4 linked regions of the Oreochromis niloticus genome follow. The protein of the gene in region 3 purifies or fractionates together with the protein of the main gene of each other region. This does not show direct contact. Links are inferred from orthologs where the notes say so. Each region holds a gene or a part of one and is shown on either strand. Other genes may lie near its edges.

What was found.
Region 1: the proteins of npm1a (region 3) and pum3 purify together in Homo sapiens (affinity purification with mass spectrometry; 3 studies listed by BioGRID and IntAct, counting the BioPlex papers as one, with this or other methods). This does not show direct contact. The link is inferred for Oreochromis niloticus from reciprocal best matches to the Homo sapiens genes NPM1 and PUM3.
Region 2: the proteins of npm1a (region 3) and gtpbp4 purify together in Homo sapiens (affinity purification with mass spectrometry; 3 studies listed by BioGRID and IntAct, counting the BioPlex papers as one, with this or other methods). This does not show direct contact. The link is inferred for Oreochromis niloticus from reciprocal best matches to the Homo sapiens genes NPM1 and GTPBP4.
Region 4: the proteins of npm1a (region 3) and eif3m purify together in Homo sapiens (affinity purification with mass spectrometry; 3 studies listed by BioGRID and IntAct, with this or other methods). This does not show direct contact. The link is inferred for Oreochromis niloticus from reciprocal best matches to the Homo sapiens genes NPM1 and EIF3M.

Annotation. Positions count from the first base shown.
Region 1 is NC_031972.2:32,304,679-32,311,790, reverse strand, and holds the start of pum3 (pumilio homolog 3), read left to right. Parts: upstream 1-4,112; 5' UTR 4,113-4,375; intron 4,376-5,673; 5' UTR 5,674-5,685; coding exon 5,686-5,758; intron 5,759-5,839; coding exon 5,840-6,028; intron 6,029-6,356; coding exon 6,357-6,540; intron 6,541-6,630; coding exon 6,631-6,706; intron 6,707-7,112. Other genes in the region: cfap44 (cilia- and flagella-associated protein 44), read right to left, coding at 949-1,051, 1,858-2,020, 2,630-2,783, 3,599-3,674. UniProt on the Homo sapiens protein: Inhibits the poly(ADP-ribosyl)ation activity of PARP1 and the degradation of PARP1 by CASP3 following genotoxic stress. Binds to double-stranded RNA or DNA without sequence specificity. Involved in development of the eye and of primordial germ cells.
Region 2 is NC_031982.2:30,875,287-30,882,413, reverse strand, and holds the start of gtpbp4 (GTP-binding protein 4), read right to left. Parts: upstream 3,019-7,127; 5' UTR 2,916-3,018; coding exon 2,868-2,915; intron 1,970-2,867; coding exon 1,799-1,969; intron 1,703-1,798; coding exon 1,599-1,702; intron 386-1,598; coding exon 249-385; intron 110-248; coding exon 9-109; intron 1-8. UniProt on the Homo sapiens protein: Involved in the biogenesis of the 60S ribosomal subunit. Acts as a TP53 repressor, preventing TP53 stabilization and cell cycle arrest.
Region 3 is NC_031975.2:8,472,810-8,480,392, reverse strand, and holds the start of npm1a (nucleophosmin 1a), read right to left. Parts: upstream 3,006-7,583; 5' UTR 2,888-3,005; coding exon 2,842-2,887; intron 1,744-2,841; coding exon 1,664-1,743; intron 1,407-1,663; coding exon 1,287-1,406; intron 1,129-1,286; coding exon 1,035-1,128; intron 920-1,034; coding exon 804-919; intron 717-803; coding exon 625-716; intron 1-624. Other genes in the region: kcnip1b (Kv channel-interacting protein 1b), read right to left, coding at 6,202-6,249, 7,015-7,077. UniProt on the Homo sapiens protein: Involved in diverse cellular processes such as ribosome biogenesis, centrosome duplication, protein chaperoning, histone assembly, cell proliferation, and regulation of tumor suppressors p53/TP53 and ARF.
Region 4 is NC_031965.2:24,244,724-24,252,568, reverse strand, and holds the start of eif3m (eukaryotic translation initiation factor 3 subunit M), read left to right. Parts: upstream 1-4,842; 5' UTR 4,843-4,955; coding exon 4,956-4,997; intron 4,998-5,641; coding exon 5,642-5,774; intron 5,775-6,316; coding exon 6,317-6,455; intron 6,456-6,552; coding exon 6,553-6,676; intron 6,677-6,826; coding exon 6,827-6,921; intron 6,922-7,069; coding exon 7,070-7,153; intron 7,154-7,245; coding exon 7,246-7,345; intron 7,346-7,808; coding exon 7,809-7,845. UniProt on the Homo sapiens protein: Component of the eukaryotic translation initiation factor 3 (eIF-3) complex, which is required for several steps in the initiation of protein synthesis.

The sequences.
Region 1 (7,112 bases), on a different chromosome or scaffold from region 3:
CTACCCTCAAACAAGGCTAACTCATTTCAGAATGGTAATAGGTGAGAAAGAAATTCTTGAATTGTGAGTGTCAGGAGTGTCTGAAGATATACTGGGACAAGCCTCATGTTTTAACTTCGCTTTGTTAAGGAGATATGATGATTCAAATATGCCTCTCATTACAGAAATCAAGCTGTGATTTTGAACAAGCTCTCCATTGACTTTCTATGGGGATTTTTGAGACTTTGTGTTGGTCTGAGGAGATTTGCCAAAATTCTATAAATCTCACAACAATGATGGTGACATTTTCTGAAAGCCAGCAAAAATACCTACGTTTTGATGTATAATTTGTGGAAGTTGAGTGAAAATTGAGCAAGTAGCAAGAAGTTGTTCGGACATGAAGAGAAGACTGCGAAACCTACAGTGGCACACTGGAAGCCAAGTGCATAGCAACCATAACAACGCATGTATTTTCTGAAAAATCACAATTTTGCAACTCAAAACTTTAAGAGGCATAAAAATAAAACGGTAAAAGATTTGAAAAAGCTGATTTATTCCTGAATAGCCCAATAATTTGAGAACATTTTAAAGTTTGAATGGTTGTTCTACGTGAAAGTAGGAAAAAGTAGTTAAGTTTCAAAAACAAGCAAGTTTTAGCAGAATTGCGGAAGTTTCCCATTCATTTCAATGGGACAAATTAAAGGAAAAAAGTGTAATATTTTAAAAAGTATAACAGTTAAAAATATCAAAAGATATAGCGTACATTAGCAGAAATAGCAGAATAGTTTAAAATTTGAACGGTGAAAATCGGCTGAAAATTGTGGAAGTAGTTAAGTGCCAAAAAGTGTACGGAACGCAACTAGAATAATAATAATAATAAAGAATAAAGAGAAACAGGAAAACAATAGTGTGGATGCCTTAAAGCATCCACACAATTAAGATAATAACTGTAAAATGAATCAGCTTTACCTCTGAGGATGCGGTAAGGTCGCAATGAAGGATATTCATAGACTATGATGTTAGGCTGTTTTCCCTTCTCTGCTACAACGAAGTACTCCTTGCCAGGGTGGGCCTTTAACCACACACACACACACACACACACACACACACACACACACACACACACACGTCTGAGAAAATGCAGTCATCAAGTGATTAATTATGCAACTGAACCAAATGCATTTTATAATAAGGGGTTGTAAATCTTCCTGTAAATACTGCATTAAAACAATTGAGGTATTACGTGTATGTACCTCAATCATTTCTGCTTGAAAACTGTAGGTGCATAAATGTACACTTCTGCAGGAAATCTTTGGAGTGCCTACGATATAACCTACTCGCCTCTGTCAGTGCGCCCCAGGGTGGCTGTGGCTACAATGTAGCTTGCCATCACCAGTGTGTGAATGTGTGTGTGAATGGGTGGATGTCTGGATATGTAAAGCGCTTTGGGGTCCTTAGGGACTAGTAAGGCGCTATATAAATACAGGCCATTTACCATTTACATAAGCAGCTGACCAGGTTGCTGGCATTTATCCTGGAGTTTTACATTTGATGCTAGCCACACTGTTAAATTATAAAACTAGAGCAGAAAAGTTGCTGGAAATGCATAGGAGGAATTTGCAGTAGTAAACAGGTCAATCATATTAGTTGCGGGCTGAGTCAACATGATGTGTAGTTACATTTCTAGAGAGGTGCATGCTGGGTTACACCATGGGCTTTCAGAGGAATTTGGGGTTACGATGTAGTTATGCCGTAGATTTCCCGCTAAAGCTTAAATCCCCAGTAGCATTATTTATCTCCTCAATGTGCCTGCTGCCAGTCACAGAGATTGCAGATTCTGTGGGACAGTTCACTTGCATGATGAGTAATTTCCCTTACCGTGATTGCTCCGATTCCCCCTCCACTGCAGGAGCGCAGGTATCTCTGCTCCTTGGTGTTCACATCGAGCAGGACGAGCATGTTCCCCGCTATAAAAATCAGAGTTCTGTCATCCAGCAGCTTCAGGTTTGCCCTGCGTCCACAGTCATAGCCAAAGGAGTGACTGATTGCATCATTAATTAAGGATATCAAAGTTAAAATTCACATCAGTGTTATAGAAAAATGTTTTTTTAGCAAAAGAAAATTACAACTGCTTTTTTATAATAATGTATCAATATACTAATATCTCTGTTCCACATACTGTTTATACATACTATTACTTTAGAAGCATTAGTATTAGCAGAGAAATATATGACACATACCATAAGATAATGGCACTATAATGCTACTCTATTAAACAATATTACTGCTTAGTCTATACTACATATTACATACAATATACACAACGCATGTTTAAATGTACAGTATATTATACTGAGCATTCATACTTACACATACACTTATATAATACAAGCTAAACATATAATGGCTGCAAACATAAGCACAATATAGAGTTAGGTAGTGTTTATAACATATTTAAATAAAATCGTAGGGTCTTTACCTTACAATATAAAGTGCCTTGAGGCGACTGTTGTTGTGATTTGCTGCTGTATAAAACTTAATTGAATTGAATACATAAAAGCTGGAGTTAAAAACTACTCAAAATAAACTATGTGCACTATTCTTATAATTGAACATGGGAATGTGTAAAATATTTTTCAGCAAAGGATACGAGAGATGCAGGAGGTTCTCTGGGATTTCAGAATCGGGTGTGATGTACGGTCTGGAGTGAAGCTCTTCATATTTGTAGTACATGTCTGCAGGGAGTTGCTTTTTTGATTGGCTCCCAGCCTCCTGCTGCATTGCTGAGTGCTTGGTATCACATTCTGCGAGGAAGGAAAGATGTGAAAACAGTTTTTAGTCGCTTGTGACTTGTACCATTTAATTAACTTTATTTTTCCAGTATTTTAGCAGTCATAACTTAGGAACTACAGGGGATAGCCACATTAAATTTTTAGTGCTGAATCACATTTATGTATCAATTTTACACCCACTCCAAGTGTAACATCTACAGCCAAGACCTTTCCTCCAGGACACTGTCTTCACAACTTATTTTCTGATTCAACCCAGCAACCCCTTCTTGCTTTAAAGTGATAGTGCTACCACCTCACAACGCAAACTTTAGCATTGTGAGGTGGAAAACTAAACGGAAAACTCGGATATCAGGTATTGTGAAATGGTTATACTGAAACTGGGCTTTACGTGGTGCATGACATAAAATGATCAGCAAACTGCAATAACAACGAAGTATCTAAAACTGATTGGGTTTAGCTTGGTACCTTTATTTACCCCAAAGTTGGGAGATTCCTTTGCTACATTAGCCAAAACTACTTAATACAACCTAGAACAAAGCTTAGATAGGTAGAATGAGGACATTGCTGTGTACAATAAAATTCAATATATCAAAATAAATGTCTCAATAAAGTAAAAAGAGAAAATGAGAGAAAAATACAACATTTTAAGTTCAAAATGTAAATATGTAAATTTAAAATATGAAATAAATTAATAATTAATAATAATGGATTTTCATTCATTAAAAGTTGCAATAAAGCGGGTTAATAAAGTAAATTAAAATATCTGACATAAAAAAAAAAACAATTATTAATTAAACTTGGGGGAAAATAGCATTAAGCTGCCTGACCTTCAATGTTTTCCTGTAAAGATGTCCGTGTGCTTTCAGTCTGTTCACTAACAGAAGCTCCGTTTTCTCCCAACATTTCCTGTTTGTTACCTGCTCTGTGAAACACACACAGACAGTCTATTATTCAAAGGTATTTATAGCTTGAAATGAAGGAAGTTAAGCTTTAGAATACGATAATACACAATACCACCAGATGGAATTAAAGTCCTATCGTCTGGATACGGCTCTGTAAAGTCTGTTGCTACGTTGCCGGGCAACGGCAACGGAGTTGCAAAGCCTTGTGGGTTATGTAGTTCTCAACCGTTGTCTTGCGTTTTTTTAAGTAATGGGTCGTAATTTTAAAGAAAATGACATGATTTTTTACAAACATGATTAACTTTAATATCAGATTAAACTAACTTGATTTTTAAGGAATTTTAAAGAATGTCAATTTCTAATTCACATCGATGTAACCACAGTAACGAGGTCTGCCCCTTTAAATCACAGTCTGTAAACAAACATGGCCGCGTTATAGTGGCTCCGAGCTCCACAAATCGAAAGAAAGAAGTTCACTTTTTGTCGGTACACTTTGGAACTGCACAACCAATTAAAGTGTTAAATATTGGTAGCTGAAACTAATAAATTTATCGGTGCGGCGTTTTTTGGCGATAATGAATTGTCGCAACAACCAACGTTTTACGGCAGTGGAGTTTAAGTTTGATTGGACGCTTTGTACCGTAAACCGTGTCGGTTATAGAACACATGGGACGGAGCTGAGGTAGCGTGTGCATCTGAAATGTGAGTTAACTGCTCGAAAAAATCATGTTTACGTCGTTATGTTATAACAAAATGCTATTTTTATTTGCGTAATAACAGTTGCTAACTTGTGTTATTTATGTTATTTGCTAAGTAGCTTGGGTAAAAGCACCAGAAGCGCTTTATGGATCGAAAACACACTTTAAAACTGTTATAACTGATGGAAAAGTGGTTCATTAAAACTAAAATTTAAGCAGAGTGTCGTCATTAACAGCACGGGAAGAAAAAAGGCTTGGTGTAGTTTCTTGTCTGTGGTTCTAGATTAACGCCTTAATAATTTACAAAGTGAGGAATAAAATAGTTGGCAGAGCCAGTAAGTGTATCACAGGGAAAGTTCCCATCTGAAAGTCTTCTAAAATCCACATGAATCTACTTCTGATGTCCTAAATGTGAGACGTGGAGAAGGTTTTGAAAAAACTGTGTTCTTGTCTCAGAAGCTCGGCTTTCTGTTTATTTTTATTCTGAAGCTAAAAGGCCAGGTCAATGTTTCTAAAGCCAAAATTGGGACCCCCCCCCCCCCCCCCCCACTTGTATTGTCGTCTGGTACAATGATTGTATTGTCAGATGAAGGCACTTTTGAACTTCACACCTACATTTATTGCTTTGCAGAAAGCTTCAATAGCTCATAACTTAAATCCAATTAGAATCAGAGAAACATTATCGTCAGACACTTTCGCCCAGTCCAACAAAGCTTCTCACTGCCTCGGTAAGATGATAAGGAATACTTTATTTTTCCCATATTTGGTTATTTGTTAAAGCAGTTTAAATAATGATCAGATACTACTAATATTTATTATTATTATCAACACCTGTCAGGTGCTTCAGATATATTGCGTTATAGAGGGTGATAGCATAGCAGTTTTTAGTTCTCATCAGTTGCAATCACAGAACCAGTCTTCCTGATTCCAGTTCGTAGAGTCTGTTATTATCACCAGCTCTAGTGCTGCTTCTCCTGCAGATCACAGCAAAGTACACTGTACTCGCAGTAAGTGATGGATAGAAAATGTCATCATCACTTTGCTGCACACAGTGAAGGATTGTGGTGCCTGCTAAGCCTCTTGTTGTATACAGCCTGAGTGTGACAGCATGAGCGGTCACTCAGTGGTTTGATGAGTATGAAAGATATATTGATCACATGCTAGCCATAGCCAACAAATTTCAACCCAGATAACCGCTTGTGGGAGATTGGCGTTCCATCCTTTTTTTTTTCTACTTTGATTTGTCACCTGCGTGTATGTGACTTGTTAATCTTCCTACTCTTGTCTCACTTTCTCTTTCAGACACACATTAGGATGGAAACTCAATCAAAAAAACCTTTTTCTCCTAAAAATGGGAAGAAGTTCATGCAGAAAGGAAAAGGAAAAGGTAAAGCATCTTTTACAACAATGCTTCCACGCTTCATCACATCAAACCAGTTTTGTGATTGGGTTGTCTCATTTTGCCCAGATTCCACAGGGACCAAATTTGGTGGAAAACCAGGCAGCAAAAAGCCCTTCAAACAGTACAACAACGCAGAGAGGAAGAGCCGACCGGGGAAGGGCCGGGATGGTGGCAAGAGAGAAACAAAGTTTTCTTTCTCTAAAGGAGGAAAGAGGAAACTGACAGATGCTAAAGATGAAGGAGGAGAGGGTGAAGGTGAGGAAATATCTTCTCTTTCCAGACCAAATCTGACACTGCCTGTAGACACTGGAGTTGGTTGTATATCATGAACTGAGCATAATTAACACACATACATTCTGCACATATACAGCACGTTATCAGCTCACTGCTTTTTAGTTTTAGAGTAAAAATAAATAAATACATGAGACGGACTCTATGTGCTACAGCGTGGATAGTCTGGCTGCTGAAACGACACATTCTGCTCTAAATCACTGATTCTGTTTTCGGCTCCTCCTGAGAGACTTTCTGTTAGAGGACGGCCTTCAAAAGCAAAAGTTCTGTTTCCTCTTTTGTGTGAGATCAGGTCCTGTGGCTAAGAAGGTGAAGAAAGGTGGGTTTAAGCCAAATGAGAAGCTCACAAAGGAGGAGCTGAAGAAGAACAGGCAACAGAGAAAGAAGGACCTGAAGAGGAGCCGACAGGAAGCTGAGAGGAAGGACATGTTCGAGATCATCAATCAGTCCAAACATATGTGGGGAGACCTCAGGAGGTACATGTACACACAGACTCACAGGGTTGGAGACAAGGCCGTCGTTTGTGTTGCTGCGGTTGGTTCAGTATCGGATGTTTGTGTCAACAGGAAGAACTGCGAGAAAGACCTGAAGAAGAAACTGCTGAGAGAGCTCCGAGACCTGATCCATGGAAAAGTCAAACAGGTTCGTCTGTTTGTTAGAAACTGCACATTTGGATTTTTTTTATTTTTAAACCTGTCTAACTTTTCTTTAAAATGAACCCATCCTCAGATGACCATATAATGGACATCCACTCTTGTTGACATCATACAGAGCCAAGAGTGGGAAAAAAACCTTCCTGAATCCTGATCATTTGGCTCACAGGGATTACTTGTACATACACTAGCCTAATCATATATGACAGAAAACAAAAACAAACGGGATAGGCTCCCATTAAGATGTACCTTTTTAAAATATAGTTAGGGTCATATTCTCTTAGGATTGATTATCATGTCTGCAGTTGACTCAGCAAGTAAACAAGCTTAAAAGTGGACACATGGAACACAAAACATCATAAAAACAAAAGAAAACCAGCAGATTCTTGGATTTT
Region 2 (7,127 bases), on a different chromosome or scaffold from region 3:
GGATTTACCTTGTTGATGAAACTGGACTTGCCCACGTTGGGGTAACCGCACAGAAGCAGGGTCCTCGTGTTTGGGTCGATGCTTGGCAAACGGGACAGATGCTGACGCACTGAAAGATGAGTAAGGGTTACGTATGAAGACAGGAGAAACAGACTGAACTACTCAAACCTCTCAGCTAAAAGGAAAAGTACAACTTTGGACAGATTCAGATTCTCAATCACAGCCTAAACTCTCCTCCTCCTCCTCACCTTGCTCCAGGTACTCCAGGCTGGATTTCTGCCGTTTCAGGATGGTGCACATACGCCCGAGAGCCGCTCGCTTCAGCTGCTTACACCGATACAGAGAGTCTCCATACTTCATCAGGCGCACATAGTCTTTGGCAACACTGAAAGAACAAAAGATGCCTCTTCACTCCTTTGTTATAGGAGAGTAAGTCTAGACCAGCGTTGGGGTCGTTACTCAGAAAAGTAATGTAGTACAAGTCACTTTTTTTTAAGTAATGCATAAAATTACTTGATTATCCTCAGGAGAAACTGATTCATTACACTACTTGTTGCATTACTTTGAAACAATGTCACATAGTTTTACTTAACAATATAAACCTTATGAGGACACACAGGAGACGTGTGTGATCATGTTACAGTTTTAATTTTAACACTAAGCTCACAGCAAAGTTGAAAACCAGCCCAAAGAGAAGCACGTAACAGCGATCGACACATTCAACAGTAGAAATATGTACAGGTAGAACGTTAAGTCCTGCTGCTGCACTGCAGGTCTGATTACGCTCAGCTTCAGGTTCTTCGCATTTTGTTTGCATGCTGTCTTGCAGATGCTTGCAAGGACCTGACATCCTGTTAGCAGCGGCAGACAGTTGCTTATGTTTGCACTCTGCCATCATCCTCTTGTTCTTTGTGCAATAAAAAATAAATTATGTTCACGAGTCAGAGCTCTAGACCGGAAGAAAAATACTGACAACTGCCGGTGCTTACATGTGATTGAAGTAACACACTGATGTAACTAGGGCTGCACAATTAATCTAATGTAAAGGCACTGGCAATAGAACGCAAAGCAAAAGCATAACAGGCGCTCCATAAATCAGTGCCTGTGCCTGCAGGAGCCAATCACAGCTGTTCTGTAGCTTGAAGTTTCTGAAGGTGTAATATAAATGCATGAAAAACAATGCAGTGGCTGCTAATCTGAATGGTCTAATGCAAACTTGGACATTCGAAAAAGTAGCCCTATTGAGCGCATCAGCATACCCACCAAGCTCACATAAATGCACTGAAACCAGACTCTCATTCTCAAGGTAAGCCTCCAATAAATAAACCGAGTAACAAAGTCTTTAAGAAAATGGTCAGCATACTGGACACATGATATCTTATCGCCTCGCACAAATATTTTTCCAAGGTTCCAAAACATGCACTGTATGCAAACACCACAGAAGATGTCAAAGCTTTACATCCATCAACTCATCTAGCAAACAGAGTGAGAGGCTTTTGATTCAGATTTGTACATCAGGAGGAACGAAGCAGAGCATGGATCTGAAAGCAGTGTTCACAGCACAACAATAACCAGCAATAGATTTTAGATTAACTTACTTGTCAATCAGATTCTTGGCAATGTTTAACTGTCCTAAGGCCAACTTGTAATGATCTTTGTCATACAAGACGTTCATTAGATCAGCATAGAAAGGGTGGATGTCCTGAGGAGACGGAAAACATCACGTAACATTAAGCATCATACGAGTTTGACCAGATATTTAAATGAAAGGAGTCTCTTTCAAAGTTTCTTCTCTTACGTCGAGCTTGGGGAAGTCGGTGAGGATCTGCGTGAGGCGGTCATGGTAGTTCTGCTGGGTGAACTTCACCTTTCGCATGTAAAAGTGTCGGATACGGTGAATCTGGTAATGTTTGTGTACCACCGTGGGTGTCTTCCTTTGGGTTTTGGATAAAGTGACATCGATGAAATCCTGCACAGATTTAAACAGGGTAAAGGTCAGCCACAGATCACCACAAACAAACAAATCAATACAACATCATCAGAAAAACTGTGTTTATTTTTGGGCTCTAGTGTCTTTAATTATTTGGCTATTTGAGGTTATATTTATCGATACTTGACTCGTTACATTACGTACAAGAAAATTCAATTTTCCTGTAATTCAGCCCATAAAACCTCATATAATCGGTTTTCCTAGAATCCAGCCAGACATCCCTGAGAAACCAATCAGTTTAATGTTTACTCGCTACCGGCCAAGTCAAGCAGCTTATAACACAATTTTATATGACGCTTACCACCAATTATAGTGTTTTTTAAAGTTCGGCATACAAGTTATATAGAAAAAACTGTTTGAGGAAAGAAGGCAGAGTCTTTCATGACGTTGTTCTCATAGTAGGCCGCCACAACGTGGTGTTTAAAAGGACTGACACCACTGCAGCCACACGAGTCATTAGGCCTGTTTTCATCGAGGTTATGAGAGCATCTTATACCTGCCGAAGTGAGTAACAGTGTCTCTGCTCACAGGAAATAGAAACGTATGAAACAAACAGCCTTAGACTTATACAGAGGTGAGAAAACACACATACGTGCACTTCCAGATTTGTGAATGTAGTTCTGAAAGCGAAAATTAGAGCTACCACCGGCTAAAACAGACTATTACTGGCTGTTTATTTACATATAATGACATGTCAGACTCAGTGTAGCAGTTTTCTGTCTTAAGTTTGCTTTTCTGAAACATGCTGCGTTCTCGTCAGCCCAGTACGGCACGTGTTTTCTTTTCCACCATCTTTTATCTCCTGCCATTTCCCACGGCGAGTCGGACCGAACCTCAGCCCCTTTAAAACGCGATGTTAGCTAAAGGTAAAACTTACCTTGGCGGTGGGAACCACCATAATCTTCTTGAAATTATAAAGTGCCATTTTGTCGGGACACGTTGTGGTCCGCTGACGGCACGGGGAAAGAAAGCCCGGAGTTCCGCTACAGCCGGAAAAGACTCGGAAAACAGTTTGTGTGTGTTTTTTGGACACCGCCCCCTGGCGTCCGGACACAGACACAACAAAAACAGACACAACCACAAGAAATCCAAATCATCAAAAGCAAAAATACTGATTTTATTGAATCATTTACATTTATTCAAGAGACACAAAAGCTTAACAACTTTTATCAATAACAATTTATCTTATCTATCTGTGTGAGTATGAGATACATAAAAACAACTTAAATATACACATGCACATGTAGGTGTGTATTTATTTATATGTGAGTGTGTGCATTTATTTACATGCATATTATTACTTCACAATGTACTTTGCACAGTGACAATAAAGAAACTTATTCATTCATTTAGTGTTGCTATTTACATAAGCAGAGTTTTCTTTAGAATATTAAAAACTTTTTTTTAGATTTTCCAAATATATTAAACAGAAAGTCTGAAATATTTGTATTTTTTATTATTTGAATTCATGGTAATTTTTTGGGATTGTCATTTTTATTATTTCAGATTATCTTTTATGTGACTGAGATATTGTGTTATGGCAATCTACTTTTTAAAAATATTTTTGTTATGTATTTGTGGCTTTAATTAATTGTTTTATTTTTTTCATTTTCATTATTATTACAATTTCTTTGTTTCTTTGGATTTATTTATTATTTATTCATTAAATTGGATAAACTTTGACTATTATTAATATTTCAAGTTGCCAGAAAGTGTCTAATGTTTATTTTAATTTAAGGTTGTGTTATTTGTATTATTCTATAATAAACAGAAAACTTTTTATAGCGTTGTAACTTGAAGTTGGTTACATTTTAATAAAACAATATTTAATAATAAATAATTATTATTTATCATTCACATATGTGAGTGTGTGTGTGTGTGTGTGCGCGCGCGCGCGCGCACTTACTGCTTTGACAGCACTGACTCTAGTATGAAAAACATTCTTGTTGTGATCCGCGCGGAGCGACAAGCAGCCAATCAGCGGACAACAATACCCCGTGACCCCGCCCACTCTCCCTGATCACGAGTGGATCCGCGTGCACCCACGGGCAGTATGGACCAATCAGGACGACCTGCTGCGAGCGCGAGCGAGGAAGAGTAAGAGGAGGGGGGAGGAGGGGCGGGGGCTGGAGCCCTGTGTGACAGCGCTAGGTTCAAAGAGAGAAAAACACGCGAAGAGGTATCACTCCGCTGACGGAGAGCGGCTCGTGTTTACATCCGCCTCGATCCTCTGGCTCTGCTCCTCCGGCCTCAGTGAGAACCGTATCAGACTTTAGCGCAGGCTCGGTATCGGCTAACTCAGTACCAGAACAGAAAAAACCAAAACACGACAACATTTTTGGAAGTTAGCCCTTTAAAGAATTTTCCCTCAGTGTCAGCTTTCCCCCTGCACTGATGATGAAATAGCCCTGTGCGAAAGTCTTTCTTTATATTTTGCTTAAAAATGCAAAATAGGTGCAGCATTTTACTGAAACATGGCAGCTCACATGGAAATATGGAATATAAGGTAAAAACAGAGTTTGTACAATTCTAAAGAGCTTGAAGGTCAATATTTGGTACGACCACCTTTATTTAACACAGCCTGAACTCTGTTAGTCTTCAGAAATAGTTCTCCAGGTTTCTTGAAGGACATTCAAAGCTCTTCTTTGGATGTTGGCTGTCTTTTGTTCTGTTCTCTGTCAGGATGATCCAACAATGCTTCTGTAATACTGAGATTCAGGCTCTGGGGAGGCCAATCCATGACTGATGATGTTCCATTGTTTTCTATCCAGGTATGATTTTACTGCACTGGCAGTCTGTTTGGGATCACTGCCGCGCTGAAAAATGAAGCTCTTTCCAGTCAGATACTTTCAAGATGATGTAGCATGGGGGGTCAAAATCTGATGGCACTACTTCATCAGCATTGACAAGATCCCCAACAACATTGATTCTACACCATGACAGAGCCTCCACCATGTTTTACAGACAGATACTCGCTGTTGTGTTTCTTTCCTTACCTGTTGACTGATTTTTAGTCCAGTTGTTGTGTAATCTGGCAGACCTCAGCCTTTTCTCCCAGTTTCCTTTGCTTAATAATTACTTCTTGACAGCCACCCTTCCACTGAGACTATTTCTGATGAGGCTTCAGTAAACAGTAGATGAATTATCTGAAGGTCCAGGATTCACCTCTCAGGTCCTGTGTCAGGTCTTTTCTGGATTTCATGACAGTTTTTAGGCCCGTCACTTGTCCAGGTTACTCAGATTTGTTAAGGACACACTGCACATCATGCTTAGGTATGCTGTGGTTGCAGCTAATAGCTCTTTGGGAATCCGCTTGTTGTTGCAAAGAGTAACTTATATTCCTGTCAAACCATTATGGGAGTGGGAATAAATGTGTTTTTGTGACAGGCTATTAGTAACAAAGAGCCTGAAGATAGAATCTGAAATTGCTTCTTCACTTGGTTGTCTGTTATGTGTGCCATGTCTGATGTGGTGGTTATCAGTACTGGGGACCACAGCTGATTGTCCTGTCTCCATTCCTGTTTACTTCTCACTGTTGTCCTGGAAATCTGAGGTGTGCAACATTCCACCACAAGTGCTCTGATGACACTGCAGTGGGTGGGTGTATTAAGGCAGGAGTCGGAGTGCAGGGAAATAACCTCTGCTGAATGTCAGCAAGACAAAAAAGAGTTGGTTGACTTCCAGAGCAGAGCTACAGGTACTTGGGTGTTCACTTGAATGGCAGACTGGGCTGGAGGACCAACAGGGATGCTGTGTACAAGCAGGGAATGAGCAGACTCTGCTTTCTGACGAAGCTCAGTGTGCAGCAAGGGCGCTGTTTACTTTGCAGTTGACTGCTGGGTGGACAGCATCGGTGCCAGAGATGGCAGCAGGCTCCACAGGATCACTGGCCAGAATCTGGAGGCGTTTGAGTCAGTGAGAAACAGGAGGTCACTGAACAAACTGCTCTCCATCATGCCCCATCACACCTGCTCTGCTCCACACTACAGAGGCAGCAGAGCTCATTCTTCCTCAGACGTGTTCAACCTCACTGAATGAAGAACGCTTCAGGAAATCATTCCTACTGCTCTCTGTAAAACAGCATAACAGCTCTGTTTTTCTGTGACAGGTGAACACACCTGTCAGGACAGCAGAGTCCACATACCTTCTTAGATCTATTCTGTATATATTATTTATTAATGCCATTTGAAGTACTCTTTTGCACAATCTGAGTCTGAATTTTGTATTTTTTAACTTAGCTTCAGTTTTATCTTCTTAATTTGTAATCACTGTTGTGTATATATAAATATTCTTTGCACCAACTCAAACTATAAGATGTGTCTATCTACCTACTATACAGAAACATAACACAATAAACCTATTTAACATGTAGCGTTAGTCTATCGACATGAGATAAACAATATAAGCCACCTTTAAAGTGCTCTTACCTGAATAGAAAATCCTAATTCGTCTTGGACCTTCTTATATTTCCAAAAGTCTGTCACAAACCGACTCGCCCTCTTAGATCTTACACTGCCAAACTTTGAGCTATCAGCTTTCACAGTTAATGCCCCCAAACTGTGGAACATCAAAATATTAGGGAAGCAAACAGATCATTTCAAGAAACTCTTAAAGCACACATTTTTATTTACTAGTCCTTTTACCAAATAATGAACATAGGAATAGCAGTGCACAGTCGTGCCTGTTGAGCTCAGCCACGTTTGGTAATCTAGCAGATAAAGACCATTTGCATGCCTTCCTGATTAGTATCAAATTTTCCTTCTACTTTTGTTAACTAACATTGTTTCTTATATATTTCTTTGATTATGTTTTGCTGGATTTTTTTGCTGATTTATTTTTACTTGTGCATTATGTGTGTGTGTGTGTCTGCATATTTCTGATAGGCTGCTTGTTTGATTAAATGCCTGGTTTGAGATGTAAGTTTTCAAATATGTGAATCCCTTTGAAGCTATGTGATATTATTGGGCTATATTACTTAAAAATCTTTATAATGAAGCTCAGGTCTTTGGTGGACACTTAAAAAAAGATTTTTCTGAGCCACTGGGATGTCCGGTAAAGCTGCGCTGTAGACGATCTTTGCGCTGCACACGAAAAGGAAAGGAAACGCCGACTTCTCCATTCCAAACCCCCCTCTTCT
Region 3 (7,583 bases):
TTATTTCTAAACGAGGGGCTACCTCTGTAGCATGGACATGGGTTATGCAAAGTCTGACATGGACCGGAAAACCTTTTCCCTAGTTTCATAATGACAGTAACTATTAACTGCACACTGTTGTGGCTACAAATAATATAACCAGTTTTTAGATGTTTCCTACAAGTTTTGCTTTTATCATGTTATGAAGAAAGCTCCATTAAGCATTATTTAATAAATAATTATTATTAATTATTAAATAAGCTCTTATAAAACATGATAGGACAGGTGTTCAAAAGCCATCTGACCTTCGCCATGAATTTCATTTTCACTATTTCAGTTGGTCGGGGAAAAAAAAAAAAAACCAAACAAACAAAAAAAAAAAAAAAAAAAAAAAGGGCCATTTTCAACTAAAGCCAGCTACACATGCTGGCGGCAAGATGAGCAGAAGTACGTTCTTTTCCCAGCAGTGCAGTGACCCAAATATAAAATAACACTTTGCCCAGAGCTGGCCATGTTTAACAACTGATCTCCCGACAGTCATCAGCTCTTTAAAAGGCAGGAGGAGGAAAGATGCAAAGCTACCATCTGTTCGCATGAGGACGTCAACTTAAGGACTTCACTGCATTTGTGTGGTCAGACACTCACTCATCATCGTCGTCGTCTTCATCATCATCATCGTCTTCTTCATCATCATCGTCGTCGTCATCATCTTCCTCCACCTCCATTTTCATCTTTTTCTGTGAAGGAGATTAAAAGTCAGTCATGTGATTTACAGTGACAAGTTTACACTTTATACTAACACCGATTTAAAAAACCAAACAAACCTGAGACTTTGCAGCAGGGGAAGCAGCAGGCCTTTTCTTTGATGTTTTGACATCTTCCTCCTCTTCATCGTCGTCATCCTCATCATCTTCATCAAAAGACTGATCTGCATCCATCACTGCGGGGACAATTTACAAGGAATTTATAATCAAAAATTACTCAGTCTGCTGTGCTACGAGGGGTCTTGATTGTTTGAGGGTTATCACCACAGTCTCAGAATTATGAATACTCACTGACAAGGTGCTGTCCACTGATATGGATCGGACCAGAACCTGCCTTCAGGCGGAAAACTGCTGGGGGTGTGATTGTGTAACCACCAAGACACGCCTGCAACAAAACACACATAAGACAGCTGCTGCAAGACTATACAGAGCAGTTTTTCCTGAGGTAGCAGCACAGAAGCCCCTACATGTGAGGCTAAGGAAGACTAAAGCATGAAATCATTTGCTCGCCCAGGTGTGTTTTCAAGCAGAAAGTTTACTTACACTTGGCAAAGTAGAGGGCTTAAGTGAAACCAGAACTGCCTTGACCTTCTGACCCTCTGCGTCCTGCCCTTCTACCTCCACCATATGAAGTTCATCTTTTGTGCTGGGGTCCACACACACCTAAAGACAACAGAACATTTGACGTTTTGGTGGTGAGAAATTTCAAACTGAAAATGTTAACCAACGATTTGGTATTCACAGTACCACTTGGCTGCATCATTCTCTTCACAAAACACAAGTAATGTGCTCAGTGTGTGGGACACAATGAAATATGAGAATTTTCTGTACGCTTTGCACTACATTTTCTACATTCTGTGTGCCCGATGGTAAGAGCTTCAAGTATACAGGGATGAACAAACTGCATCAAAGACACCTACCATCCTCAGATCCAGCTGATGCTCCAAGTCATCGTCGTCAGGATTGAAGACCACTTCCTTTCCAGCTTCCAGCACACACCCTGATTAAGAGATTTCAATAAAATGATTTATTTTAAAAGAATACAAATGTAGAAAATGAGTAGAACCACTTAGGTGTAAAGCGCTACATTCAAGATGCACACAAGAGGGAGCCCTACAGAACAAGGGGTGAACGTTGTCACATGGCAACAGCAGGAATTCCCCTCAAATGAAGAAAGGGGGAGAACTGAAAATCACTTCAAAACTTATGCTAAAGTTCTGAAACACCTAGCAAAGACACGTGCCATGTTAATATTCCAATATGCATCCTCTACAGCTATGGCATTTCAATTAACCTGGGTTAAAAGCCAATTGCAGAGCTTTGGATAATCATCACCTATCTGGAACAATCTATTATCAGATTAAGACGATTTGGAAGGATTTGGCTTGGTTTCTGTGTGTGAAAAAAATGTTTAGCTCTTGCTCTTTTAAATCACCTCAGAATTTGCAACTTCTCTATTTTCAATTCATTAAACCAGTACACTGTGAACGTATCTGCTGTTTAAACGGTGTCTGAAGTATCCATCCTAAGAGAAGAGGTTAAATTTTAGTGAGTAAAGAGGGCAGAAGGACAGATGAAGAATAGAAACACTCTTTAAGATCTGAGGTGGCTTAAAATGCAGTCGCAGGAGGAGGTCAACGCGGTCCGCGTGTGTTTGAAGCCACGTTGAGACCAATTTCCCCGGCCAGCAGAAAACTTTCAGCTCGAAGAAGAGCGTCAGGGGGACAGTTCATCTAAAAAAGCAGGTGTTTCAATAGAACAGCAGCGCTAACTCTTTAAAGAAACTGATCAGATATCAACTCAGTTAATAAATCACGGGGGCCGCCATGTTGATAATCAAGCACGTGTGTGGCAAAGTGGTCTGAAGCACAGCAGCTCAGCAGGACTCATTCAACCTCCTGCCACGACTCATAACAACTAACAACACAAGACATTTTAAATGTTTTAAATACAAACAGGTCCACTGTCTTCGTCTGGAAGAAGGCACGTGCAGCTAAGCATGCTACATGTAATGTATCTGTTGCTAACGCCAAAAAACACGAGAACACAGAATATAAAACAACCTCAAGCCACACATAAAACAAAGTGGTGCTCTCACCGTAAAGAAAGTTTTGTGGTGCCATTGGTTCATCCAGCCCGTTCATGTTGGAGACGAGGACGCTGACAAACTCTTTATATGCTGTAGAAGATTAACCAAATGGTACCAGCAGCCACTAACTAACGTGCTACAGCGCTCCCGCTCTTCTTCTATTCTCAATGAGGCACGGAGTAAAGAAAATCAGCCCACATTGCCACCTACAGGATGCACAGGGCATCATGCAGCTAGCTCCATCGTTTGTGTTGGAAAAGCGCAAAAGCGCATTGACTGTTAGGAATTACGGTCATTTTGAGATACGGCTCAACATTATAGTCCTTCATTTCTTTTCCCATGCATACTACAGTCATTTAAGATGTTTTCTTTACATAAACCTTTAATTTTACGATCGCATCAAACCTATTATGTTGTTCTGTAGCTGAAAATCTGCCTCTAGGTGTCAGCAGAGTGAAAACGTCTTGAGCCTTTCCTTATTTCTTTATAGTTCACTTCCAGGTAGCCAGACCTTCTTGTATTTTTTTCTGGGTATCTTCTGAAGAAGAAGTTTCATTCTGGACATTGACTTTTTTTTTTTTTTTTTTCCATTTTATTTATATAACGCCAAATCATAGCAACAAGGTGTAATGTAATGTAAAGACCCTACAATAACAAATTAATTTCAAAGTTATTTTTTAAGCCACTCAACACTGATCTATCAGTCATTCAAGAATGACTGAGTTAGGACACCTAACTCTAGGGATGAAGCTTGAACCAATTTAAAGAACCAATTTTAAATTTTCTCTTTTGGCACCTTGTTACTAGTTGCCTGTCATAGTAGCCTGTTGGGTCAGTCTATGAGAAATGCCAAAGGTAACACAGTTTGATAGGCATAATTTTTTTTTCATCACAAGGTAATTTCTAAACAGCTATTAGCCAAAAAAAAACAAAAAAAAACCCTGCCATATAGTGTGCAGTGTGTCCTTCAAGACATAAAGTCAAAGAAGTAGCAAAAAACTATCTACTGCACATGGACACTATTTGAAAGTAGAAAAAGAAATCCAACAAAGACCTGACACAGGACCTGAGAGATGGATTTAACCAGTTGATCAGTTGATCTACTTGCTGTTTGCTGATGCTTCATCAGAAATGATCTCAGTAGAAGGGTTGCTGTTGAAAAGCCACTCTCAGGGAAGTGAAACAGGGATAAGAGTCTGAGGTGTGCCAAGTTACAGAAGAGCTTGACTGAAAATCTGTGGCAACAGGTCTTATGGAGTGATTGACACAAACCTGAAATTTCATTTGTGGAAGACGTCAGGAGACCCAACAGTGACTCTCTACAGCCATATGTAAAACATGGAGGCAGCTTTGTCATGTTTTGGGCTCGATGTTGCTAGATGTTGGGATCTTGTCATAACTGATGAAATTAGGAATGCAGAAAAGTACTGTAAGAATTTGATCACCATGAAGAAAGATTAAGATCTAAAATTTTGCACAGAACTGTACTTATAATATAAATGCCAAGAAGTTAGCAGCAAATAGTTGATAGATGGGCAATTTCTTCACCAAAAATGTTTTTTTTTTTTTCAGATTTTTTCCCCAGTTTGAATAGTTGAGCTAAATCAATACAGACGGGTAAGAAGAGAGAAAAATCTAATTAACTTAACATGACCAAAACAGGTTCAAGTCTGAGGACTTGCAAATGTCATGGCATATGATTCACACAGTTTTCATACTCATTAAATTTTTCAGTGACTCCTTAGAGCCTGCACTGTGTTTTTGTGTTCTTCACTCATTTATGTAGGTTTCTGCTCTAATGATCATTACATTTTTTTTTAAAAGCATACAAAAAGGCACACCAGTCAAATTTAAGAATTGACACATTTATTCATATGGCTTAGAATGAACCTGTTGGTGAGATTTAATAATCTGATTCCAAAATAAGATCTCCGAGACCTGAGGCTGCGATGTCACACGGTCGCACGGTGCAGCAAAAGAGCCTCTCTAATGACTGCGAAAAAGAACAGCAATGAATATTTTAGTGCCTAAACTACGATAGTCTTGCGAGTTTTCTATTATGGTGGCGCATTTAAACACACCACGACTCACAGGAAACCTTCAGCGGGCTACTGCTGCAGAAAAAACCTATTTTCTGTGTACCGTTTACGTCAGTGTGACATCACTGTCCTTGTTTGGATGGAGGACACAGTGCCAAATGTTCATTATTACAAGTGGAGCTGTCCTCAGTGTCATATCACATTCCAAAGCTGACATTCAGCGGGTTTTCCCTGCAAGATTATCAGAAGCTTTCTCAGTTCTTTGCTGGAATGGACCAGCAGCAAACGTCTCGCTTTTTCTGACACAGTGATGTCTTTTGGACAAAACTTCTTCTGTAACATCGCTGTTTCCATCTGAGACTCACGCCTCGATTACCTGTCATCTGTGCAAATAAACATCTAATAAGCCTCTTCTTCAACATCTTTGATTTGCGGGTATTTCATAATTATGTCTAAAACGTATTCATGTTTTTTTTTCAATCTTTTTTTTTAAAAAACATTTTTGACAATACACCAATTTGACCACAAGCAGGAAAGCAGCAGATGAAAATATGAAAAAAGAATGAATCGGTTTCTTTTTCACTAAAAAAGAAAAGAAAAGATAAACACACACACACCATGTAAGACCCAGGAAATGTGCTGCTTTAAAATTATTTGACTTGTACTGTAAGTTTTGGACAGACGAGCATAACACAGACTCAGCACACAAGCGACATCCAGGTCATCACAAATTTACAAGGGTCACCGCATCAGTGAAACCAACGTACAACATTTGCAATATCTCATATCTGTCAACCACAAGATGCATGAGACACAAGTATAGATTTACTTATGGTCAAATCTGTCAAAAAGTTTGGAAATAAAACAAGCATGCAATCATACTTTGGCAAAAAAACAACCAAAAAAAAAAAGCAAATAAACAAACAAACCCCAACTGCTTCTTGGCAAAAAATAAAATAAAATGTTCAGCTTCTTGAGCACATCGCCCTTCACTGGTCAGGAGCAGCCTCATAATGGATGAGCAGCTTCATCTTTAACAGGCCAATCTTCGTCTTCATGACAGAACAGAGACGAATGTGTTAAAATCCATGTCTGTCACATCAGTCACTTTGTGTTGTGTGACGAAACTCGTCAGGAGCACTAAAGAGCATCCCAGTCCAGTCCCTTCATACAAGTCATTGTGGGGGATTCAGCCTATATCCTGACCACAGCTGGATAAAACAGGAGGAGGAGGAGGAGAGACTGGATGTACTGCACATATGCATCCACACACACTCACATTCAGCCCTCTCATTTTTCCATGTGGTTGTCTCCACCCTCTCCGCTTGTTCTACATGACGTTTTCAAACAGCTGCATGGATCTCATCATAGTTTCATCCTGTTGAGACAAAGAGTGTATGGAATTATTTTGAATACCTCCGTCTGTGAAATGAAATCATCTGATGGATTGTGGTTTTTCTTGTGTGCGACTTTTGACATAAAAAAATTAAGTAATGGTGAAATTATGTGGGCCTATTTACACTTTTAACACTGCATGTATTCAGGCTAATATACACTACTGAGTCCTTCTCTAAAAAAGGGCCAGATTTAACAATGTCTGTGAAGCTGGATTTAAAAAAAATAAGTGTTTAAAGTTTTTAGAACATGTATAGTGCCATCTTGCACCAGTACATAACATAATGTCACTGCGTTAGTTGGTTGCTGCTGATAGACTTACAATAATTATTTTAGCTGACTAGTAAAATAACCAATAACTCAATGGAAAAGAAAGAAACAAAAACTAAAAAGCAATCTAAAAGTGTCACTTTAGTTTTATGCTTAAATAACACAGGATATACTGTTCACATTCACTCTCTGTCTTTCAAACAGTAAGTGGCTTTTCATTGTTAGCTAGCTGCACTGAAATGCGAGAATCCACCTGTTAGCCGTAATGTTAGTGTTCGTAGACCACTTTATGAATGAGGAGGAGAGGCTGTTTGAGTCAAGTGTAGTGGTGGTTTCACGACTAGAATAACAAGCTGAAGTAAGAAACTAGTTGCTTTTTTTCTTGTTGGGTCAGGTTTAATGAGTGTGTATGAGTGAGTATTATATTTTAATTCTTTAACTATTCATTTGACAAAAACACATGAAGAAGAATACTGACCTCTTGGCAGGCTACAATGAACTCCTCCAAAGTCACCACGCCATCTTTGTTCTTATCCATTTTCTGTAGAGAAACAGTTATTTTTTTTTTGTTCATTCTGTTCTGATGGCATTGCCTTGCATCCTAACGCTAATGAAACAACCTAATAATGACTACAAAGCTGCTATAAACCAACAAAGGTTTCTTGGGAAGTTACAGGGTTATGACAAGAGACATTAAAAGCCTGCTTTCCTTCATAATGCGTAAACACTAGGGTTTATAAACCTCATAAGGTTTATAAAATGTTCCACGAGTGATGTCACTGTGCTAATACTGCGCTGTATTTGAAATGAGGGTGCTTAAGAACTTCTACTTCTGCACCAACCAGAGCGTCCTGATGGGAAATATCTGACAGACAAGATCTGCAAAGAGTGGTGCGCTCAGCCAAACACGTCATTCGATCAGAGCTTCCTGACCTGCTGTCCATCTACACCAAGCGGTGCAAGACTAAAGCCAGGAAGATTGTGATGGACCTCTCCCGTCCCAACATTGGACTCTTTTCACTGTTGAGGTCTGGGAACCGCTTCCGC
Region 4 (7,845 bases), on a different chromosome or scaffold from region 3:
CTTTATCGGTTCTTTACAGTAATTCACAACCTCTTCCATGCTGTCGCACCCTAGCAGCTGTGCCTGAGGCATACACAGTCATCAGAAAACATTTTAAGATATCTGTAGTGGTTAGAGACTGTTGTCATACCCTCGAGGCTCATTCTGAAGGTAGGTGAGGAAATGTTTACAGGATAACTGAGATATGCGAACAGTGATGGGAAAATATACAAGTTACCGCAATCAGCACAAAATGAGACTGTGAGCTCTGACACATGGTTGTAAGGAAATACCGATTTGCTGCAATTTTCTCAGTCCTGATACAAACATATAATTGAGCTTTTGTATATTATTATATTGATATTGGTTTACAGAAATCTGCTGACTATCAAAATCCTGAAAGCAGAAGCAGAAGAGAAACAGCAGCAATGTTTTACTCTAGTTTAGTAAACCTTAGTGGAAAAACACAAAAACACCTGTTTTATTTGTCGCTATCTGTCATTCACCTGGCCCTTTTTCAGAGTTTCTACTCATTTTCTCAGATTTTTTATCCGATCTAGTGCTCAGCTGAGATAAAATGATTTTTACATTCATGTAAATGTTGAAAATAACAACATCAACAATGCATTTATAGACTCAACACTGGAAATACATTTTCAGTATACTGGATGTAGAAAATGGACGGATGGATGTGAAAAGTACTTAAACTTTAGGAGGTTGATTATCAGATACTGTGGCGTCTCTGAAAAACAAAGCAACAAATCAGAGAAGTTTGACTCCCTACTATAACAAAAACGCAGGCCTTAACACAAATAACTCATAAGCATGGAAGGAAAAGTTGATGTTCTAATCTAGACGATCTTTGTTTGGCCTGGAAAATAAGTCTGTTGCTCTATTAAAAGAAAAAAACAACAACAACCTAAGTTTGTTTGTTTCAACACTGTAGCCAGGCTGACTTCATGTGATACCTGATGTAAACAGCACATCTTCACCACTCAATTTTTTTCCATTCCCAAGTCTTTGTATAACATTGCCCCACGTCATTCATTTGTTGTCTTCTTACTTCATTACTTCGTGTATTGTCCTGTTTCCCTGTCCTCTTTTCTTTTCTCTTTCAGCCCCTCCCTCACCTTCTACCCAACCAGTTTGCTAGATGTTCCATCCTCTTAAAAGGGGGTTTTTCTTTCCCACCGTCACAAAGTGCTTGTCACAGGAGGGCTGATTGATGGTTTTCTCCAGAATCCTGTAGGATCTTTCCTGTACAGTATAAAGCACCTTGCCCCGACTCCATTGTTATGATTTGGCAAGATATAAATAAAGCTGAATTGAATTGGATTGAAAACACTAAATAATTTCTGGAAAAAGAAAAAGAAAGACACAATTCTGCTTTTTTAGTCAGTTACATTCATTACTGAGAAAGTTTTAACGGTTGTCTGTTCTCTGTCTTCACCATTGCATTTATCAGCACTGATGAAACAGTCTAAACAGAATCTTGCAGCTACAGGGTCACGTAGTTGAACATGCCTCTAATTAGTATTTCTGAGCTCTGGCATCTATAGCTTCGAGCCAGACATTGCACAATGTATCCCCGGTGGAAACGCATTTGATTTTTTTTTTTTTTTGACTGTGTCTGTGACTTTTAAACTCTTATTGCCCCTACTAGCCTGTGAGAGTGTGTAATATAAACACTCTCTGATGACAAGAGGCCATTCCATCATCGACAGAGCCACAATTCTAGTGTAGTGACTCAATCTATCTAGACAGGAAAGGCAGAATTCCTGGAAAACAGCAGCTTTTATTCCCTGCTGATGCCATTAGGTTGAAACAGAGCACACAAATTCCACATTGAGGGATTAGCAACTTCAGATAACTCAAAACCACAAATGCAAACTCACACTGATTGATTGCTGTGATCCTCAGTGTGATATAAAGCGGAGCATTATGTGAGATAACAGTGGTAAGATAACAATGGTGTTTGATTATTTTTTTTCTGGTGATCTAAAGACTTTTTTTCACCCATCTAGAAGGTGTACACAACACAGCCGATCACTAGAAATTCTATGTGGACTAAAATGATTTTTTCACAAGTGCAGAGGTGTAATATTAGCTGCAGTGCGTGATTGATTATCTGACTGAAGAGGAGATAAGTGATCACAAGAACTGACCAGCTATCACAATAAACAGGCACTCAGCTGGATGAGACTGCTCATCAAACATGTATTCAGAGCGGGAAAATGAAACACACAAAACTGCAAAGGACATTACACAGACTTATTGTATATCCATTTCCTGTACACTTAACCAAAATTACTAGTTGCCCTTACAATTATGGTGAATTTAACCTAATCAGCACTTTTTTAGCCTTAGCACTTTTTAAAAAACTATCTAAAGAGGATTAAAGACAAATTTAAATCCAAAATAACTTCAGTACGGAACGGAAAAAAGTAAACTGTGCTAGTAAACGAGTTATTGTGAAAAAAATAAATAAAAACCCAGAGGTCATAAAAATGATTTATGATACAGTTTTTGCCTGCATTTATGAACAATAAAAGCCCATTAGATTGGCCCCATAGGATTTTATATGCCATGGAACACTTTGGCCTTAGACTTATTCATACTTAAGGCCTTGACTTGAATTGTTTATTTGTTAATTGTATGTTTTTACTTCTTTTTTTTTAAGGGAGGATGGGTCAGCTTATAAGTAATTAACAAGCGATTTGCTCCACCTAGAGAAATAGGGAAGTTACTCATGCGATGCTCTCTGACAAGGTCACTGGCTGATAGATGAGTCTGAGCAAGGGGATCTTTTGGAGACTGTGAAAGCAGGCAGAACTGTGGGAACCAGACAATTAGTGGGTGGAAGGTAGGCAGCCATGTTGGATGACAACCATGAGACTGGTTTACATGGATACTCATCACTTGGCTGGTCGACAGGGAGAAAACAGACACCTGGGCTCAACCAGCTATTACGACACAGTCATTTATCTTTGAGGAGGCTGAGCAGGCAATTTGCCAGCAGTTTAGCATGAGAGCGTGTGCAAGTTCCCTTCAAGCAAATAGGGATGAAGTCAGTGCAGACATTTAACAATAAATATTGTTTCCAATTAGTTTTAGCAGACATATACTGTGGGTAGAGGAATATTAAAGATGAAGCATGAACCAACACCTAAAGTTCTTATTTGCATTTTAGTCCTTTTTGAAGTTTTTCTACAGCTACAATGCAGTCTTTAAAAAAAAAAGAAAAAAGTAATAGTTACAAGATAAACACATGAAAACGATCACTTTCTGTTCCCCCGAGAAAGATAACAACCTACCGTAACACAGACACACACACACGTACACACAAAGGAGAATTGGAAATTACCCTAACACATGTCCCTAAAAGAAAATTTTAATGAAAAATCTTTGGCAATGTCTACCATTATTTCACAACCTTATACGGGAACAATGCTTGACAAAAGCAGAATTACAACTAGTCTTTCACAAATTCTGCTAACAAAAACAAACAAATGAATAAAAGAGGGGGAAAAATACACCCTAAGACACATCAGTGTAAGTACCTGAAAAAAGTGTGATAGCTGCTGCTAGCCTATTTTCTTTCTTCTAAAATCATCTATGCCAGTTTAGATTTATAATGATATAAGACACGCTAAATCCCAGTTTAATACATGTACCAGGTACGGGCTCCTCTGAGTTAAAAGGTTTATTGCACTCCAATTTCAGTGCTATTTTCAGAGCACTGTTCGACAAATATGATAAAGACTATTAAGCATCATAACATTCCATGACACTTTAAAGACCTTTTAAAGAAGACAAAAACAATGTCTCACATGCACCTGGAGCTTCAAAGCACACAAAACTCTTATTCTGGACTTGAAATACACCAGGCACTTGACAACAGCTGTTAATCAGATAATGAAAGCCTCGGCGTTACACAAGCACACTTGTGGAGAAATGGCTATAAATTCTTTGCCATGACAGCTCACAAGGGCAGGGAGAGCGTGAAGCTGGGATATGGTACCAGGCACTTGCCTTCCCAACAAGATGACGCATCATACGAGCACTATGATGAAACGCTTCTTCAGCCATTTCCCCTCAGTCCACTATTTTGAGCTATTTATCCTCAATGCAACAGATTTAAGTTCCCTTTCTGTAAGTGCTATGAGAAATAACTGACTACTAGCCAGTGATGATGCAGTGTCATGGGTTTCCATAGTTTCCGATTTTGTGAAAAATACACAGATCCTAAAGGCAGATGAGGTGAATGTTGGAGCTTGGAGTTGAATAAGACTCCAGTGTCGTCACCCTGTGCTTAGATGTCAGTAACTCGACTCCATGGTTTCAGGGTGACCTCCTGCTGCACTTACCCTCTTCACCTCAATCACCAAGTGACCTGCCATTGTAACAATACACAGGATCCCACATGGTATAGGGGCCCAACACGTGCACCCATAGGTCAGCGGGTGTATGGTGAAGAACACTGCCCTCTGACACTGGCGGTGTTTCCTACTTTGGAGAGCTCTTGGCCAGACCTTCCATGGTGGTCTGCAAAGATGGACTACAGCTAAATCAGATAACCTTTCACGGGGTTCAGGTTCACCTCTCATCCAAGACATCCAGGGATAATCCTCCAGGAAAGGAGAGGAATACATAAATTAGAGGCAATGGAAGCCAGAGGAAGTCATGACAACTACAATTTAGGAGTTTTCACAATATATAAACAATGATGGACAGGAATCAGATTATAGTCTAATTCGTGTCCATTAGATTAATGCTCGGCGTATTTAAAAGTAGCAATAAGGACATTACACAAGCGCCAACCAACAGCCTTCGATTACGGCTACTGTGGCTTTAACAAAACATGACCCGGAAGAAGAATTTTGTCGCCGGCACAGTCTCCTTGTTCTTTTCCGGTCAGAGCTCTGTAGTGGTGCGAGCGTGGATTTCATCATCTAGGCTCACAAAATCACAAGAAAATGAGCGTACCAGCATTTATCGACATAACGGAAGAAGATCAGGTACAATCTACGTTTACAATAACTCGTTGAGTAGATATAAGCGTTATATTGTCGCGGATGAGTCGCTAAATGATACCCAATCAAAAAACTTAGCATGCTCGCTAGCTAAAATGCTAACCGTCGGTCGTAGCAGCTGATATCTGCACGCATATGGTTAGGATATGCGTGGTAAAACATTTTAAGTAAATATGTTAAATATCCTGTCATCCACATTTTCTTGTAGGTAATTTAATAGGTATATTTTTAAGATCATTGTGCTTGGGGTTTAGCGTGTCGTAAGTTTCTTTTGGGGCTTAATAATAGCTAATGTTGCTAGCTGTTTAGCCGCACATCTAAACAAACAAAGGCGTAAAAATTCTACACACACGATTCTACAGGCTAGATATAGATGGGATAATACCTTCACTCCAACAGTTGCTTGTTGCTGTCCACTATAGATCTACAGTCCATATTTTAGTCAGCCACAACAAAGAGATGCAAGAGTATAGATAAATAAAGTCGTCCATACCTTTTTCTTAAATATGATGTCCACTCTGATGCGAGCACGTAACTTGCCACTCTTCGTTCTCTTAAATGTTGAAATGCTCTGTATTTATTGTGTATTTTATGTATTGTTTTTAATGTAAATGTATTTTGTACTGCAGGCTTCAGAGCTGAGAGCCTATATTAAATCTAAAGGAGCTGAAATCTCAGAGGAGAACGCTGAAGGCGGTCTTCATGTAGATCTGGCTCAGATCATCGAGGCGTGCGATGTCTGCCTTAGAGACGATGATAAAGGTAGGCAATGAAGAAATTGCTGCTCCTTTTTGATTAGCTCATCCTCTTCATCCTCACCTCAGGCCTCACCTCCTGAACTGAACTCAGGGCTCTAATGCACAAAAACATGCATAAAACTTGTAAACTCTTTCAGGATATTGTCATAGTTCCTTGTTGTCAGACCATCCCATCTTGGGGACAACAAGCTGGGTATAACAACACCATCTGGTTACAACATAATGTTATCCATGAGTGTCTTAAAAGTCACACTTTCCCTCTGATAAACAGTTTGATTACATTCTCACATTGTATGAGTGTTCATTTGATTAGTGTCAGAGTCTGACAACATTAGCGCCACTTCATATACTTTGTCTATAAAAACATTTTTGTACATAAACAGTAGTGGAAAAACACCGCCTGTCCACGTTTGTTGTGGGATGCAGAGGGTTAAGTTAACTTGTCTGGTTAAATTTGCTGTCTTGTTAAATGTTTGTTTGACAATTAATGCCCTAAAATTGTGCAACAGTGTCTTAATGCTCATGGCCCTCTATGTCTCTCCACAGATGTTGAGAGCGTGATGAACAGCATCGTGTCTCTGCTGTTGATCCTGGAGACAGACAAGCAGGAGGCTCTTATTGAAAGCCTATGTGAGAAGCTTGTGAAGTTCCGTGAAGGAGAGAGACCCTCCCTCAGAATGCAGCTGTGAGTCCCATCAGGTCCTTTCCCTGAAGACTTTCAAAATAAGAGGTTGCTTATTTAATTGCAATTATGTAATCTCTTTTACTTTCTGGTGTCACAGGCTGAGTAACTTGTTCCATGGCATGGATGAGAACACTCCCGTGAGGTACACAGTCTTCTGCAGCCTCATCAAAGTGGCCGCCACCTGTAACGCCATATCCTTCATCCCCACTGACCTTGATCAGGTATATACATTCATGGTGATTAATCCGTATGACTGGCCAAAAACACTATAATGCAGTGCCTTGGTTTACTGAGCTAGTAAAACAATATTTCAGCATTTTCTTTTTGCCCTTTGTAATTAATGTATCATATGTATTTGTGCCCATAATCAGGTGCGCAAGTGGATTGTTGACTGGAACCTGAACACAGAGAAGAAGCACACACTTTTGAGGCTGGTATATGAAGCACTTGTTGACTGCAAGAAAAGGTAAATCCACATAGGGTTTCTTTGTGCAAAGATTACTTCAAGAGAAAAGAAAAAGGACAAGATAAAATTTGGACATAAGACTGTATGAAAATGTTCTGCATAGAATATCTCAGAAGCATTTTCAACAATATAAGTATTTATTTTATAGCGAAGCTGCAGCAAAAGTGATGGTTGAGCTACTTGGAAGTTACACAGAAGACAATGCTTCACAAGCACGCGTTGATGCCCACAGGTAAGCTTGTAGAACTTGTTGAACGCTTGACATTACACTTCAGCATTGTCCTCCTCAGCAGTACATTAACGCGTCTGTCTGCCGTCTCTTAGATGTATCGTCCGTGCTCTCAAAGATCCCAACACTTTCCTGTTTGACCACCTGCTCACCCTGAAACCTGTTCGCTTCCTCGAGGGGGAACTCATCCATGACGTAAGTGCTAAAGATTGCATAGAGCATTTATAATTATTTATTTATTAGGCTTCTGCCGCCATGACCCGGCTGCAGATAAGCGGAAGAATATGGATGGATGGATATTTATATATGTAAATGGAAACATCTGCCCCAATAACCCTCATCACAATTTGCCCTTCAGTGCCTGTCATACTCCACAAAGCACATAAAGCATCAAACAAATTTATTTTTATAATGCTGTGTCATGACAGTACAATCCACGTCAAACATGAGACTGGTTATTAAGTTTGAGTGATTCACTTGAGGAATCTAGAACATTTCTACCTGTGTGTGTTCAGTCTATGACAAAAAATTATTCAGGGTGCGTCTATAGTTTTCGACAATCTGACGTAGATAATTATAACAATTTTTAGCCTCTGTGAACAAGCTGATTGTACATCATACAGTGGCATTTGACCGTCTTCTCCCTCTTCTTTTTCAGCTATTAACCATCTTTGTGAGCGCCAAATTGGCAGCAT